Tribolium castaneum: one gene and its partners. The protein of the gene in region 3 purifies or fractionates together with the protein of the main gene of each other region. This does not show direct contact. Links are inferred from orthologs where the notes say so. Each region holds a gene or a part of one and is shown on either strand. Other genes may lie near its edges.

Region 1 (5,672 bases), on a different chromosome or scaffold from region 3:
TCTTTTGTTTTCTAGGTTATTGAATTTAATTTATTGTTGAAATTACAAGTTTTTAATTGTTTTGCACATCATTATACATTAATTGTTGTTTTTTTTAATTTGTATTTGTTTAATGTTGCAAGAGCTCGCTAACGAAAGTCAAAAAGTATGATATGAAACAAAAATTAACTTAAAAATTTAAGTTTGAAGACCTAAATCTCGTGAAAGAGGGTTCAAACAATTTTTTGTCATAGGAACTTTTAATTCAGCACCCAAGAAATTGTACGGTACTTTTGAATCACCGTGTATAGAATTCAATTTCACTATTTTTTTATTTTTTTAATTCAGCTTGTAAGCATTTTAGCATTTCAGTCTCTTAATACGAGTATATTGATTTTTTATTTTAGACTGTGTGTTTCAATTATTAGTGTTTCTCATTTTCAGTATCTTCTACTTTCTAGGGAAAAATGCTAGTTGCAGACTAAATTACTTTTTAATGTTGTAATGTTTAAAGTAGTGTAATTTTTTTTTATAAAAAATAGATACAGTGAGTTCATTTTTTGGTTGAAAGAAATTCTTACAGAAAACGAACCAATTTTACACCAGCAAATTTAAAACAATATTTAAGTTAAACGATTAATTAACTTCTTTTTTTATCCCCTTAATTAAACGCTCGAATTTACTTCTCGAGTTTAAATCTTTACGGAGATAAAATACATCTAAGACCCTTATACAATAAATAACAATTTTTTTCAACAAGAAAATTTTTTACAAAAGATATTTCGTTTTGTTTGTTTTTGTAATAGAATGTTTTACAATAAAAAATATGTTTTTATTATTCCTGATGTAGGAATTAAAAAAATATATCGGAAAATACCAGATTTTAACACGTAATTTCTGTTTTTCCAATATTTTTTGCTTCCTAATTAAAGTAAGTTTTAACCTCATAAAACTCCAATCTGTATTAATTAATTATTTCTTAAGCATTTTAAGATGTTATTTTGTGCAAAAAATCCTAAAAGTAATTTTTCCCAATTTTTTATTTTTTAATTTTTAATTAAAAAATATTTAAATACATGCTGCGGTGGTAGATTAAGCTTATTATCAATTTTTTGTCCAAAACCTTGTTTCAGGATAACACTATAAATAATAAAATTTCCATTAGTTTATGTTTATTTTTACTGATATTACTGATATTAATTACTAGTATTAATTACTATTAATACTGATCTTAATATTTTTATAAATAACTCTATAAGGGAGGGTAAAAAATTCTGAAAAAATTCACTTGTGTGGAAAAAAACATTAAATATAAAGCAACACACCGTGATTCCTATGCGATTATTAGTTTTTGAGATATAGTAAAAAATACTTTTAGCAGAAACACTTGCATTGTGTTTAATGTATTTTTTAAAGTTGCAATAACTGGTGGCCACTGATCAAAACGCAATCCGCTTTATTCGCTTTATTTCACAGATGTGTTCACATCACCGACATTGGCATTGGTTACATTTCAACAATGTTGTCTCTATCTGCACTCTATCTGCGCTGGTGTTCACAAATTCGAGACTTTGGACTTCAGCATTTATGCGGAATGAGAAATTTGCAAATACTATCGTTAGCAGGTCTGCCACATACCACAAATAATGACATAAATAACTGAATTCGAAATTTCAGGGTGTCCATTATTGACTTCTAGTGGTTTATCAAGTCTGATTCAGTTACGACATATGAGAGAATTAGAATTAACAAATTGTCCAGGGGCATCAAAAGAACTTTTCGATTATTTGAGAGAACATCTTCCGCGTTGCCTCGTTATAGAATAAGTGAACCACTTGTCCACTTGTTATATTTGATACTAGATTGTGCAATAACACTCGATTATTTTACACACGGCTTTCTTGACCAATCACAAATTGACAGAAAAATAACAACAGATGGCGCCACACAATGTGTTACTGATCAAGAAAGCTGTGATTTTACGGTTTAATTCGGTATCGTTCGTCACCTTGTCTCGTGTTTGATTCGACTTTTCCCTAGTTTTAATTTAGTTAATGTGGTGTAAATAATGAGAATATGTTTCGCAAGTAAATCAGAATGATATTTTACACACGTTCATACTTTATATCCCTTCCATAAAATTAATTACCTTAATTATCCCACCAAGACAACAATCCCAAACCTGGCTCATTTATGCTCCCCTGTGACAAACAAATAATTTTAATCAAGTCATACAAACCCAAGTTTTTTTCTTACAGTTAAACTATACGGCACTTTATTTTCGGACTTGTCTTGTGTTTCTTGTAAACTACCAGTGGGGCAAGTCTCATTAAAAAACTCCGCAGTTACGCGAAATTTGATCGTTTCACCAGCATCCATGAAAAGGTCATGTTTGCACCCGTCTCCTGTGTCATACTCCCACACCCATGCTTGTTCAGTTTCGTTAAACTTTGAAGGGTGCTGAAGGGCACTGGGAGGGATCAAAATATCGTCAAAGAAACCAAGAGTCACTAAAATTCGCAATCATATTTAACATTTCACAATATAATTGTCGTACCGTGAACCCCTTCCTGACTGCAACTCCTGATTTTCCCCACGAGAATCTCCTCAATAAAGGGGCGAAAAACGATGTACCTGAAGCTGACTCTAGTGTGTGAAGCCCCATCACCGGGAAATATAAACGATTCTTGGAGACTGGTAATGTCGTATAAAGCTATACACAAACCAACGTTGAGGACTACCTTAAACTGGGGGTTAAAAGGGGCTGAAATGTGCTTCTAATCTCACCTTGTTTGCTAGTTTTTTGTTTAATTCTCCGGCTATGGCGTCGTTTAGTTTCAAGTTGAACAGTTCGGGGGGTATTCGGGTCACATTTTTCATTTCAGCCACTATAAACATCGTTTAACAATTGTTAAACTTGTTAACAGCTTCGTGAAATTTTGAGGTTGTGTTGCACAGGACGCGCCGAAAACACATGGAATAGTGGTACCAATCTATAAACCCAAATAAACTAACGTATTTTCCAGAGTTTTTAAAATTAATTTCGCAAAGTTATTACAATAAGAAACCCGAATTTGGTAACAATTTACCGTGGGATTAGTTATGCAACTGTTTCAGTAATTGTTTTAAAGCCGAAATTCCGAAAATTACTTTTTGGAGACTATTCATATTTGCAACAGGTTGCATCATTCAAATTTGGAAGTCCCTAGAATTAAATAATTTTTGTTGTGTTTTGTTGTGGTGTGTTTTTGTGAATTTGCACACGTTTTTGCCCTACTTAAGGCCTTTCAGTCGCAATGGCCACCAGGGAGAAAGACCCTTTCGACAGCGACGAGCAAAAACACTCCGATAGTGATGGAGCCCCAAAGCAGACTTTTGAGCCCGAAATCGACAATCCAGAGATGTTCATGAAACCGGCGTGTGAGTGCCAGAACTGCGTCCATTGGACCCAAAGCGCCGACTGGACAACGCCGGATTTGGAGTTCGAGGGGCACCACAAACGTGTTTGCAAAGAGCGGAAGATTCAACCCTTGTTACGATCGGCACGACATCCAGGGAAAACCCCTAAGATCTTCACTTTCAATCCTGGCACATTGACAAAAATTGAGAAACAAAGCTACTTGAAGACCCTAGTTCACGGGTACTTTGCGCCACTTTAGACCAATTAAAATTATTGAAAAATAATTTCAGGGAGGTGATCCCCCAGCCTGTAAAGTTGCTAACAGACACCTACTTTAGCGACGAAATTCAAGCTGCTTTGGGTCGCCTTAACTACAAGTATAGTTTACCAATCCAATCATTCGTCTGGCCCGCAATTTTCAGACAATTGAATGTTGTTATGGTAGGGGGGCCTAAGTCGGGGAAAACCATGTCGTATCTCCCGGCCCTTTGTACCTTCAGTACAGCTGAAGAGGAAAAATATCGACAATTATCAAAGTACAAGGGCCCGTTAGTGGTTATTATTTGTCCAAACAGCAAACATTGTGAAGATGTATACGATTTGATGAAAAAACTGTTTGAAAATAGTGCCACTAAACCAAAAATTGCCCTCATGACATATCCAGTCCACCACATTGTAAGTCACACAGCTTGCCCTTCACGTAGCTGGTCGCATTGTGTGGGGCCATCTGTTGGTTTCCACTGACAAATTCTCTTGTAACCATAGTTACAGCAGATAACCATGGCAATAACACGAATGCGACCAATCGTGTGAAGGGAAACATATCATGAGATCATTAGAATTTATAACCAGAGTGGGCTTATTAGTTTTTTAACTTATATGAAAACGCCGATTATCATAATTAATCAAGCCGAAGAGTCAAGTAATAATACTGTTTCGAACGGTAATACTCAGTTAAAATAGATTTTTCCTTCAGTTTGCACCAGCTTAACAATCACAAAGAAAAAAACACCTACTCTTTTTATAAATTCAAATGATCGCGCTTGACTATTTTTTAGTCATTTGTTATTTTCAGAACAGCGTTGATATCGTGATTACAATCCCCAGCACTCTTACACATTGCCTTAAATCTCGGACTTTTAATTTGAAACGAATGTGTCACTTGGTGTTAGAAGACGCGAGTTGTTTACTAAAAAACAATCACGAAGAAATTTACAAAATTTTGGAAGTCACTGATGAAATGCTTGAACACAGGATGTGTAGCACCAAAGTCCAATTCATAGTAGCTTCAACAAAATGGACATCGGATTTGCAAAAATTACTCAAATCGATTTATGTAACACCACTTGTTTGCATAGGGAATTATTTGGAAGCAGCTCTATATGGGAACATCCAATTCGAAGTAAAGTTTTTAGTGTCACAAAACAAGAAACACTACATTGAAGGATTATTAAGAGACAAGAGTCATCTTTTTAAAACTATTGTTGTGTGCCATAATAATGAAATAAGCGATTTGAATAAATGGTTGGTTCGAAACGGCATCGAAGTCATGGCTTTAAATGATGATTCGACTAAGGAACAAATCGAGGTTTGTGAGGAAGAATGGGCTTTTATGAGAGGTGGCCAATACAAAGGTAGGTTTAATGTGGCTCCATCTATTGATATTATTGCCCTAATTACCAAATTAAAATTACTTGTTTGTATTAAGTTCCTTCATTGGTAATTCGTTACCACAGTTTTCACTTAATAGCTATTTATACAGGTATTTAAAGTATTTAAATTCTATCGTCTCAAATTTCTATCTCCATTTTTTTGGAGATACAAAACTTACTTAATTTTTTTTGACAAGGGTCAAATTTAATATTTTTAAAAAGAGCAGTTTCTTCTCAATTGAATAATGGAAACTTTAAAAAAGTTATCGAACTAACAAAATTCTGAGAAATGAAAGATTTGTTAGCCTTGAAAATGTCACCTTTATCTTTGTCCTTCAACTACGGGTGAAAACACACTTTATAGCTTCTGATAATATAGTAAAATATGATTTGTTTTTAATAAAATGAGGCGATTTTTTTAAATTTCAGTGTTACTGTGCACGGATTTTATTTTCGACTCATTATTGTGCATCACCGACGCCATGTGGCTCGTCAGTTACTCATTTTCCGCAACTTGGACCCGATTTATCAAACGTTTCAGCGCTTTGTCCTCACATTACAAGAGTCCTTGGGAAACAAATGAAGTATAATTCGCATCTGAATCAATTTAAAATTAACAATTCTTGTAGGAAGAAGTCAAA
Region 2 (3,997 bases), on a different chromosome or scaffold from region 3:
GTTTTGTTCGTCGCCATCTGCCAGATGACTCATCGGCGCAAATACATGGAAGTGGCTAAGGTTGCACATTGAATAATTAATTTTATTATTTTTTTATTTAATAATATATAACAATAATTAGTTTTTGTTGGAACGTATATAATTATCGAAAAACTGGAGCGACTCTTGGAGGTCGGCGTATTTTGCATAAGTGCAAGCGTCGTCGAGTTTCAACCACTTGAAGTCTTGGTGCTCCTCTGATAATTTCACCTCAGCCTTGGGGTTTGTGAGTTCGGCAAGCCAGTAAATAACTTTCTTGGGTTTCCCCTTTACGTTGTAATTTAAAATTTTCTTCACATCGTCGAAGATTTTCAAATCTTCCTGCTTCAAACCGGACTCTTCCATCGTTTCCCGAAGGGCAGTCACCATCTCAGTCTCACCAGGGTCCACATGCCCTGACAAAACATTATTATTTTTGAAAGGAAAAACTGAAGGTTACCTTTAGGAGGGGTCCAGTGGTGTTCGCCATACGAAGTTTGCAATAAAAGATACAAAATATTATCGCAGGCCTTTTTATAAATCACAAAGCCGGCCGCAACTTTCATTTGAAATTTTACGTAAATCGAATTAAAAATTAAAAGGTGAGGTTAGATTCAACCGGTTAAACTGTCAGAAGTGTCAAACAATAAATTTGAGAAACGTTTGTATTTACAATTATTTAATTGTGGACTTGGGACTGACAAAATCTTAATTAATTTACACTGCACCGAACGCTTTATGTAACGCTTTAGCCTCTGCCGAGGAAATGGGTTTCAAGGTGAAGCCCTCTAACCTTGGTTCATGTTCCAAATCCCTTAATTTATGGATTTTGCTCTTAATATTTTTATCCAACTCTAAAATATCCTTATCAGCGTTTGCAATTTCTAAAAAACTTTGGTCAGAATATTGTAAAAAAAATATTTTTTGCGGACCTGTTTTTAAAATCTCCTTACATTCACTAGTCGGTCGTTCAATAAAAACTGAACCGAGCTGCATCCAAGCCCTTCGGTCCTCTGTGCCCTCCAGGGCCCTCAGGGCTTCCCTAAACTTATTCCTGGAATTGGACAAATCCAACTTTGTTTCTTTTTCAGTTAAAATGTCTTGCGCTAGAGTTTCCACCTCGTATAAGTATTGAAACGATTTCTGGTTTTGCACGTCTTGGAATTGGGACATTTTCTCACAACAAGACGTAACTTTACACACCATAACCACCACCATCATCCATTTGACATTAGAGGTTAGGTGCTAGTTGTGTTTTCGCACCGTCATTTGAACCAAACAAAACTGCCCCAAAATGGCTTTAGCCGAGATTTGCGGAATGTCGGACTTCGACACCTTCAGACGCGAAGCCCCCTTCGACAACGAAATCGCCAAAATGAGCAACAACTTCACCCACAACACTTTGCTCAGCGTACCCCCCTATTCTAACGTAAGTAGCCCCTTGAAAATACCCCCAGATAACAAATTTGTGACAGCCGGCCGAGAACCTGGCCTACTTCTCGAAGGACGAGTCAGGTCGGGACATCAAAATCAAGTTTGACCACGGCACCACCACGCTGGGGTTCATGTACAAGGGGGGCGTAGTGCTCGCCGTGGACTCCCGAGCCACGGGGGGCCAATTCATCGGCTCCCAAACCATGAAGAAAATCGTCGAAATCAATGATTTTCTCCTGGGGACTTTGGCCGGGGGCGCCGCTGACTGTGTGTATTGGGACCGCGTCCTGGCTAAGCAGTGCCGCATGTACGAATTACGCAACCGGGAGCGGATTTCGGTCGCAGCCGCCTCGAAACTGATGGCCAACATGGTGTATAATTACAAGGGGATGGGGCTGTCAATGGGCATGATGCTGGCAGGATGGGACAAAAGGGTATTTATTTGAACAAGTTAGACCGCTTGATCAGTGTTGTTGTTCAGGGGCCCCAGCTGTATTACGTGGATTCGGAGGGGACCAGAACCCCTGGGAAAGTCTTCAGTGTTGGCTCGGGCTCCATTTATGCGTTTGGCGTCCTGGATTCGGGGTACAAGTGGGATTTGACGGATGAGGAGGCGTATGATTTGGGGCGCCGGTCGATTTACCATGCCACCCATCGGGACGCCTATTCTGGTGGTATCGTCAGGGTGTACCATATGAAGCCGACCGGCTGGGTGCATATTGATAACAACGACTGTATGGACTTGCACTACAAATACCAGGACGAGAAGTTGCAGGAAATAAATAAGGTTTAGCTTTGTAATGAATTAAATTGAATAAATTTTTTTAACATAGTTGGCGTTTGTTTTTCCCTGTCATTCCTGTCATTGTCACTATGACGCATCCAAATTCAAGTTTAATTAATAATTTGCGGTAAGTGGATTGATTAATTAAAATTAGTTGTGAGAAATCAATAATTAGATGAGAGTTTCTCGTCTGAAGTATGTAATTTGTATTTATCACACCGTGCGCTGCGCGTGCCCAATCGGCGACGATGAAAAACACAAAACGATCGCCAAACAATCGAAAGGCGTGACTTTGACATCTGACAGCATGGAAGTCGGACCCTTGACTTCGGAGCCAACTTGGCAACAACTCCAAGATTATTACAACAAGAACGCCTCAAAGCTGGTGATTAAGGACCTTTTCGCCCAGGACCCGAACCGCTTCAACAACTTCAGGTGAGTGTCAAGCGCGTTTCATTGAAAAATCGCCCGGAAAATTGGAAAAGCCGAGTGACCTCTACGCGTCCTTGCACTGGAGTTTGTTTTCACTAACCGGAGGCCACTGAGATAATATTATTGTTTGATTTTTTTTCAGCTTGAAGCTGAAAACGCCCAACGATGGCGACATCCTGGTCGATTATTCGAAAAACCGCATCAATTCCGATGTTCTCAAACTGTTGTTTTCCTTGGCCCGCGCCCGCAAGGTCGAAAATGCACGCGATGCAATGTTTTCCGGGCAGAAAATCAACTTTACAGAGGACAGGGCCGTACTGCACACGGCTTTGCGTAATCGCTCCAATCAGGCGATTCTAGTCGATGGGAAAAATGTGATGCCGGAGGTGAATGCGGTCCTGGAGCACATGAAGCAGTTCACTAATTCGGTCCTGAGCGGGCAGTGGAAGGGGTAATTAATTCAATTATTGTTGCATAATAACAGGTAATTTTTTCGCTTTCAGTTACACAGGCAAGCCCATCACCGACGTGGTGAATATTGGCATCGGGGGCTCCGACCTGGGCCCCCTTATGGTGACCGAAGCCCTGAAGGCGTACGGTCGCGGCTTGCGAATGCATTTCGTGTCGAACATCGACGGTACGCATTTAGCCGAAGTTTTGAAAAAAATCGACGCTGAGTCTGTACTTTTTATCATTGCTTCGAAAACATTCACAACACAGGAGACAATAACCAATGCCACTTCGGCCAAGCAGTGGTTCTTAACCCATGCTAAAGATGTAATTTGCTTGCAAAAATGCAATTTTTTGTTGTTTTAACTGGGTTTTTAGCCTGCTGCTGTTGCTAAACATTTCGTTGCTTTGAGCACAAATGGGCCGAAAGTGAAGGAGTTTGGCATCGATACGGCCAATATGTTTGAGTTTTGGGACTGGGTTGGAGGTAGGTATTCCCTGTGGTCCGCTATCGGGCTTAGTATTTCGCTGGCGATTGGGTTCGAGAATTTTCTCCAGTTGTTGGAAGGGGCGCATTATATGGATAACCACTTCAGGTCGGCGCCCTTGGAACAGAACGTAAGTATCGATTCCCGGCAATATTGATTAATTACGAACCAGCAATACTTGAAAATATGTATTTATTTTGATTTGGTCAACTGGACTCTATAGAATTCGCTCGGTTAAAAAACGGTTTAGTTCGCTTGGTTTGACCAGTTATAGCTTAAAACAACAACTGTAGAAGAGAAAAATAGAGATTCTGAGCAAAAAAGGAATTTTGAAATTGTCGAAAAAAGAACGTAAAACTAGTTTTATAACAAACTTACAAACTTTATTTTT
Region 3 (5,402 bases):
TGGTTCCATACTTTTGCCTAATACTGTATGTAAATACAGGTTGTCTATGCAATCTGAAAAAGTCCATTATTGACCTTTAAATCTTTTTTTACGAAAGCGGTACATAATAACCCCCTGACTCTCTTAAAACTATTTTCAAATATACAGGGTGACTCCGAAATTAACTACAACACAAACTTATATTTTTTTAAATGGAACAACCTATATTTTTTGCATTTTTGAATGTAGGTTTTAACACTGATTGTTATTGGTCGATTTTGCTTTGTTTTTGAAATAATTTGATTTTTTTGACAAAAACATGCTTTTTAAAAAACTCAGGAGAGTAAAACTTTCACCACTTTAAAGAAGAACATTCAAACTTCAAGGATATACTGGATGACCCTGGGGTGTGTAATCGGTCTGTGCTATTTGAAATAATGTCAATATTTTCTTAGTCTATAGACTAAGAAGTCTGTTGGAAAATAAAATAATGAATTGATGACAATAAATAATAATTTTTGCAGCCACTTAATATTAATTTAATAAGTTTTATTTTTCAACACTGTCAAAATTTACGGTTTTTCTCTTGTGTAAGAAAGTTTTGACAACTGTTTGGCATTTCTCAATGCGAAACGTCAGATTATTTTTGACAAATTTAAAATAAAATAAAAATAAAATGTTGTATTCATCTCGTTTTTGTGTAAATCGGTGACCACTCGACGTTTAAAAATCCACTCAGCAACAGAGCGTCAGATTTACACTCAAACTCGGTAAATAACTATTAATTATGAGGAACTGTACCAAAATTCTGAATTATGTGCGTTAGTTTTTGAGAATTGGAAAAAATGCTAAATCCTTTGTTACCTGGTCTATGATTTGTCGATGTGATATGACAAGTAAGGGGGCCCAGAAGCTGGGCTCTGGCCGTTCGTCAACATCTGCAATGGCCCTTTTGAACCTTTTACTCAAGGAGTCCTTCAAACCGTGCAGAAAAATAGCTTCAATCGTCATACACAGCGTGTTCGAAGCTTCGGTAACATCCTCAGCTTTATTGAGTCCATTTTCTTCAACTCCGCAATACTGTATCGCTTTCACACTATTCGACAAGTGATCCGTGATCGACTTCTTAATTAAATTGTCTTTATTACTCGACGTGTGCACACTTTTAAACAACTTATTCATGTTTGTTAATTAACCCGAACTTGTGCAAAATCGCAACAGTTTTATCAACCGCAATACCGTGTCGCACGATTGTGAACAAACCGCATTCTGATAAGTCAATAACGGTGGACGCACGTCGTCTCGAATCGTCAAGTCCTAAATTACCACCGTCAAAAACTGCACCAACCTGAGCCCACAAGTCTTGAAATTCGTTGATTGTTAACGAACTTGGCTCGTTGCTTAAATTGGCACTTGTGAGGGCCAAAGGGCGTCCCAAACCGCGGGCCAAAGCCCGAATAAAGTGATAATCGGGGATTCGAATCCCCACTTTAGCGTTAAAACTGAGTGACTTATCAAGTGTGCTTGCACTAGTCAGAATGACAGTCACTGGGCCTGGGAGCAGACTTTCGAGCAAACCTTGGGGCAAGTGCCCGATTTTGGCCCAAGCCTTCACCTGGGGGACGTCCCCGAGACAGATCGCCACAGGTTTGGCTTCGTTGCGCCCCTTAATGCTATAGAGTTTGTTAATTGAGGTTATGTTCGTCGCGTCACAGGCAAGTCCGTAGACGGTGTCCGTAGGGAGGGCGATCACGCGGCCCGACTTTAACAAATCAACGGCTAAAGCCTCAGCATGTGGGTCCCTGATGGGGACGTGCAATGCCATAGAAGCCCGCTTCGGGGAGAGTTTTTTGAAAAGGGGGGCGAAAAAACGCATCGCCTACTCTCGCCAGTTGTGGGCGCATTCGGGGTTGCAGCAGCGGTAGAAGTTGGTCATGGGCTCGTCAGCAGAGCGGGTCTGGACCTGGAGGAAGTAGGCGTGGGGGTGGCTGCATTCTGGACACGTTTCCGCTGTTACGTCGCAGTTTTTCCAGGCGTCTTCGCCGCCGAGCACGTCATCAACGGACTGAAAGCGTGACGGAGTTGGAACAATGATAGTGGGTTATTTGGGTTTTACCTTCACTTGGAAGTACGTGCGATTCGAGATTTTTCCACGAATGGGGAATGACACGGGGCAGATGCGACACGCAAAACCTAATCGGCCGCAGGTCTGTTGAGCGAATAGCAAATTTCCACAGAAAGGACAAAACACAACCATGACCCGTGATTATTATGATGAAATTCAACTTGAATTCACATGTGTCAAAAATTGACAATGACAGCGCACGGTGGGTTGGCAGCGCTGGGGCGAGGGCACCAACACAAAATTCGTATTCTATTTTATTTAAATTATAAATTATAACAAATATTCAGCCACTTACGGCCTTAGTTATTTTGTCAACTAATTACTTCACTAATTTGCTCCGCTTTTTATATAGTCGAATTAAATAAGACATATTTTCAATTAAAATAAACAAGGACAATTTTACAATGATTAATTTAATTTAAAATAATATGGTTCAAACATTTTCCTATACCACATTACTTAACTAAGTAATAAAAAAATTATAAGAATTACAAAGAAAAATAATTAAAAACGTTGTGTTTTATGGGTTGCCTATACTAAACTCGGTGGTATTGAGCACTTGGTTCATTTTGTTAATTTCGTTTTAAAGGTTTTGATTTTTATCTCTCTCGCTAAATGAGAATTCAATATAATTTTTTCAATTTTCCTGACAAAAAAAATAAACACTATGGTAATTGGTTCAAAATCATTAGGATAATTTACAAGGGCCGTAGCCAGCGTAGGGCCCCACAGGGCGAAGCCCTTCCTAAACAAATTTCAGGTCATACGTTTTATAAAAATTTAAATAGAGAAGTTTATAATATTTTTTTTTCTTTCTTTGTTATTACTTAAGTAAATTTTGAAATAGACATCATTTTAGCTATTTCAAAAACACCATAAACATGGATGTTTTTTATTTTTTAAAGTTGAAGCGACAGAGGGTCATCAGATGGACATGCAACATCAAGTATGCATTTTTTTTTTAAGAAAAATATATCTAGTAATAATTATTACTCCACTTGGATTTTGACTTATTTTTAGCAAAATTTAATAACAAACGAGAAAGGAAATTAAGCTTTATGAATTATGTTAGGGGAAATACCTACAAAATAACATACATCGTTTGGCAAAAGTATGAAGCTAATTGTTATGTGCCTAAACTATGTACTTTAAGAAAAACTAATTATTACATTATCAACTACTTTAAAAATATTTTTTTAATTCCTTTTAGTTTTCGATTTTTTTTTCAAATAGCACCCTACTACGGCAATTTATTTTTATATTATATTTATATTTTTTATATTATTTATATTTTGTTTTTCTTCGTTTGTTATGTATTTTTGATCCTTTATAAACTTCATTAATAATAATTTACCAACATGAGTACATTTAAATTTTCTTTGCCCTTCTATTATTCTATTCTACGAGGGTGGGATGATTAAGTCGTGGCCTCACATAGAAAATAATAATTTGGCCAAACATTTTTTGCTTTACTTTTCACTATAACCTCCTTCTAGTTATGTGCACTTGGTCAATCGGTGTTCCGAAGTCTTTATCCCATCCTTATGGGTCGATTCCGGTAACTCTTCAAAAAAATTGCTCTCTATAAGAGACCACGAATTAATCCATCCTTGTATTGATAATTCAGGGAGAAATAAGCCTCATTTAAAAAAAATACAAAAACTAATTTTTGACACTACAGAAGCGATATGTAGAAGATTTCTTATTACAGTTGAAATACTCAATACAGTCGTTCCTTTTTGATGTTTGATCATTGATCAATGATCATATTCTAACTCACACAGTGCACATTTCCTACAGTGCCGTACTGAGCCTCGGATTCGTGGAACACGGGCCCGGGTCCCGATGGCCCTTTCCTTTGTCTAAATACAAATTAAAAAAAAAATAAAAGTTATAATATTTTTTATTAGCCGTTAAAATTAGATTAGAAAGACAAAAAATTGTTTTGTCTGCTTATGAGTACCAAGACTTTTCAATCTCCCCAGAAAAAATAATTAGAAACGGTGGATTTTCTTTATATTACAGTTACACAGGTATAATACCTACCCAATAAATTACAATTGCCTAAAAACATCAGGTGTACAAACTAACATCAACGACTTCAATGTTTATGAATAAATAACTTTGTTAAAATTGTCAACAATTAAAACAATAACAGTCAAAGTTATACAATTAAAAAAATTGATGAAGCTCAAGCTTTTAAAAAAACATTGGGAACGTTTGAATCGATATTTTTGATTGTACTATAAAAAGTAAAATATTACAAATTATAGGTAGATGTTGTATTTAATTTATTACTAAGAGAACAATGAATAAACTTCGCAAACAATTTATTGAATTAAAACGTTAGCTGAAAGTTTATACTAAGAAGGGCTTCTTGAGCAAAACTTTTTTGACGAATCTCGTAAGAAAAAGTTCCACATTTGAAGCTAGAAACGATCACCAAAGTTAGAGGCATTTCCTTAATTGTTTCTCCACTTTTGGGAACATTTGGCGAACGGTTTGGCAAATACTGCAAAGTAGAATTCTCGTAAATAAAAACCTCTTGACATTAAGCTTGTTTCAAAATGAGGTACAATGTCGAAATAGGGAACGGAAATAGCAACAGTTTGAAACACATCGATTTGAATAAATGTGTGATATAACAGTGAGAGACAAATGTGGAATTCTGTATCACTGGCTGGTAGTAACATATGAGTTGATATTAGAAATGACCTCAAAGAATTGCAAAAGCTTGTAAGAATTTGTCGTTGCGTACTCTTGGCAATAAAAAGGTGTGATGAAATTTGCAAAGAGCGAAATTGTGGATGGGCGGAAAAGGAAGTATGAAAGTGATCCAGAAGTGAAAAAGTCTAAAGTGGGTACATACCTGTTTGGATATGCAATGCATTTAGTGTGAATCCATAATTTATCCCTAAATATTTGGAGAGTTACGTAAGCTAATTAGGAATGAATAAAATCTTCCGAGCGCGCCATATATGACCATAAATAATTCTGAAGGTCAAGGATTCGAATCGAAATTTCACTTTTTCGTTAAAATCACGTAGACATGGTGACTGTATTGGCACCATTACCCGACTAAATTCATTCATAGTTGTAGTTGTAGACCTATAAGTGATACAATTTGAACTTGATGAACTGGTTGGGGCTTCTTAACCGGTAAATCGCTAAATATTTACTCACTCAATAAAATCACTAGTTTTTCCGGTTGGTAAATGACTTGTTACACTTGACAGATGTCTAGGGTCAGCAGCGGAGGCACAGGTGGTGTGGGATTTTTCAACGCGAAATTCAATTG

Evidence for each region. Proteins that work in one complex are often made in the same cells at the same time.
Region 1: the proteins of Polr3K (region 3) and Polr3H purify together in Homo sapiens (affinity purification with mass spectrometry; 3 studies listed by BioGRID and IntAct, with this or other methods). This does not show direct contact. The link is inferred for Tribolium castaneum from reciprocal best matches to the Homo sapiens genes POLR3K and POLR3H.
Region 2: the proteins of Polr3K (region 3) and Pdrg1 purify together in Homo sapiens (affinity purification with mass spectrometry; 3 studies listed by BioGRID and IntAct, with this or other methods). This does not show direct contact. The link is inferred for Tribolium castaneum from reciprocal best matches to the Homo sapiens genes POLR3K and PDRG1.

What each region holds. Positions count from the first base shown.
Region 1 is NC_087394.1:25,642,974-25,648,645, reverse strand, and holds the start of Polr3H (DNA-directed RNA polymerase III subunit RPC8), read right to left. Parts: upstream 2,972-5,672; 5' UTR 2,878-2,971; coding exon 2,767-2,877; intron 2,721-2,766; coding exon 2,537-2,720; intron 2,490-2,536; coding exon 2,236-2,489; intron 2,181-2,235; coding exon 2,130-2,180; 3' UTR 2,129-2,129; intron 2,088-2,128; exon of another isoform or gene 1,806-2,087; coding exon of another isoform or gene 1,657-1,805; intron 1,605-1,656; coding exon of another isoform or gene 1,456-1,604; intron 1-1,455. Other genes in the region: F-box/LRR-repeat protein 16, read left to right, coding at 1,456-1,604, 1,657-1,805; putative ATP-dependent RNA helicase TDRD12, read left to right, coding at 3,276-3,619, 3,670-4,054, 4,455-5,013, 5,461-5,615, 5,661-5,672.
Region 2 is NC_087396.1:22,906,216-22,910,212, reverse strand, and holds Pdrg1 (p53 and DNA damage-regulated protein 1), read right to left. Parts: upstream 1,240-3,997; coding exon 951-1,239; intron 903-950; coding exon 736-902; 3' UTR 672-735; downstream 1-671. Other genes in the region: Datp (bis(5'-nucleosyl)-tetraphosphatase [asymmetrical]), read right to left, coding at 118-434, 479-584; Prosbeta5 (proteasome subunit beta type-5), read left to right, coding at 1,313-1,447, 1,494-1,886, 1,934-2,245; Pgi (glucose-6-phosphate isomerase), read left to right, coding at 2,412-2,671, 2,811-3,119, 3,172-3,445, 3,497-3,736. UniProt on the Homo sapiens protein: May play a role in chaperone-mediated protein folding.
Region 3 is NC_087403.1:7,842,945-7,848,346, reverse strand, and holds Polr3K (DNA-directed RNA polymerase III subunit RPC10), read right to left. Parts: upstream 2,322-5,402; 5' UTR 2,237-2,321; coding exon 2,096-2,236; intron 2,045-2,095; coding exon 1,859-2,044; 3' UTR 1,856-1,858; downstream 1-1,855. Other genes in the region: Plekhm1 (pleckstrin homology domain-containing family M member 1), read right to left, coding at 844-1,161; Tcs1 (threonylcarbamoyl-AMP synthase), read right to left, coding at 1,154-1,855. UniProt on the Homo sapiens protein: Core component of RNA polymerase III (Pol III) which synthesizes small non-coding RNAs using the four ribonucleoside triphosphates as substrates. Can mediate Pol I proofreading of the nascent RNA transcript.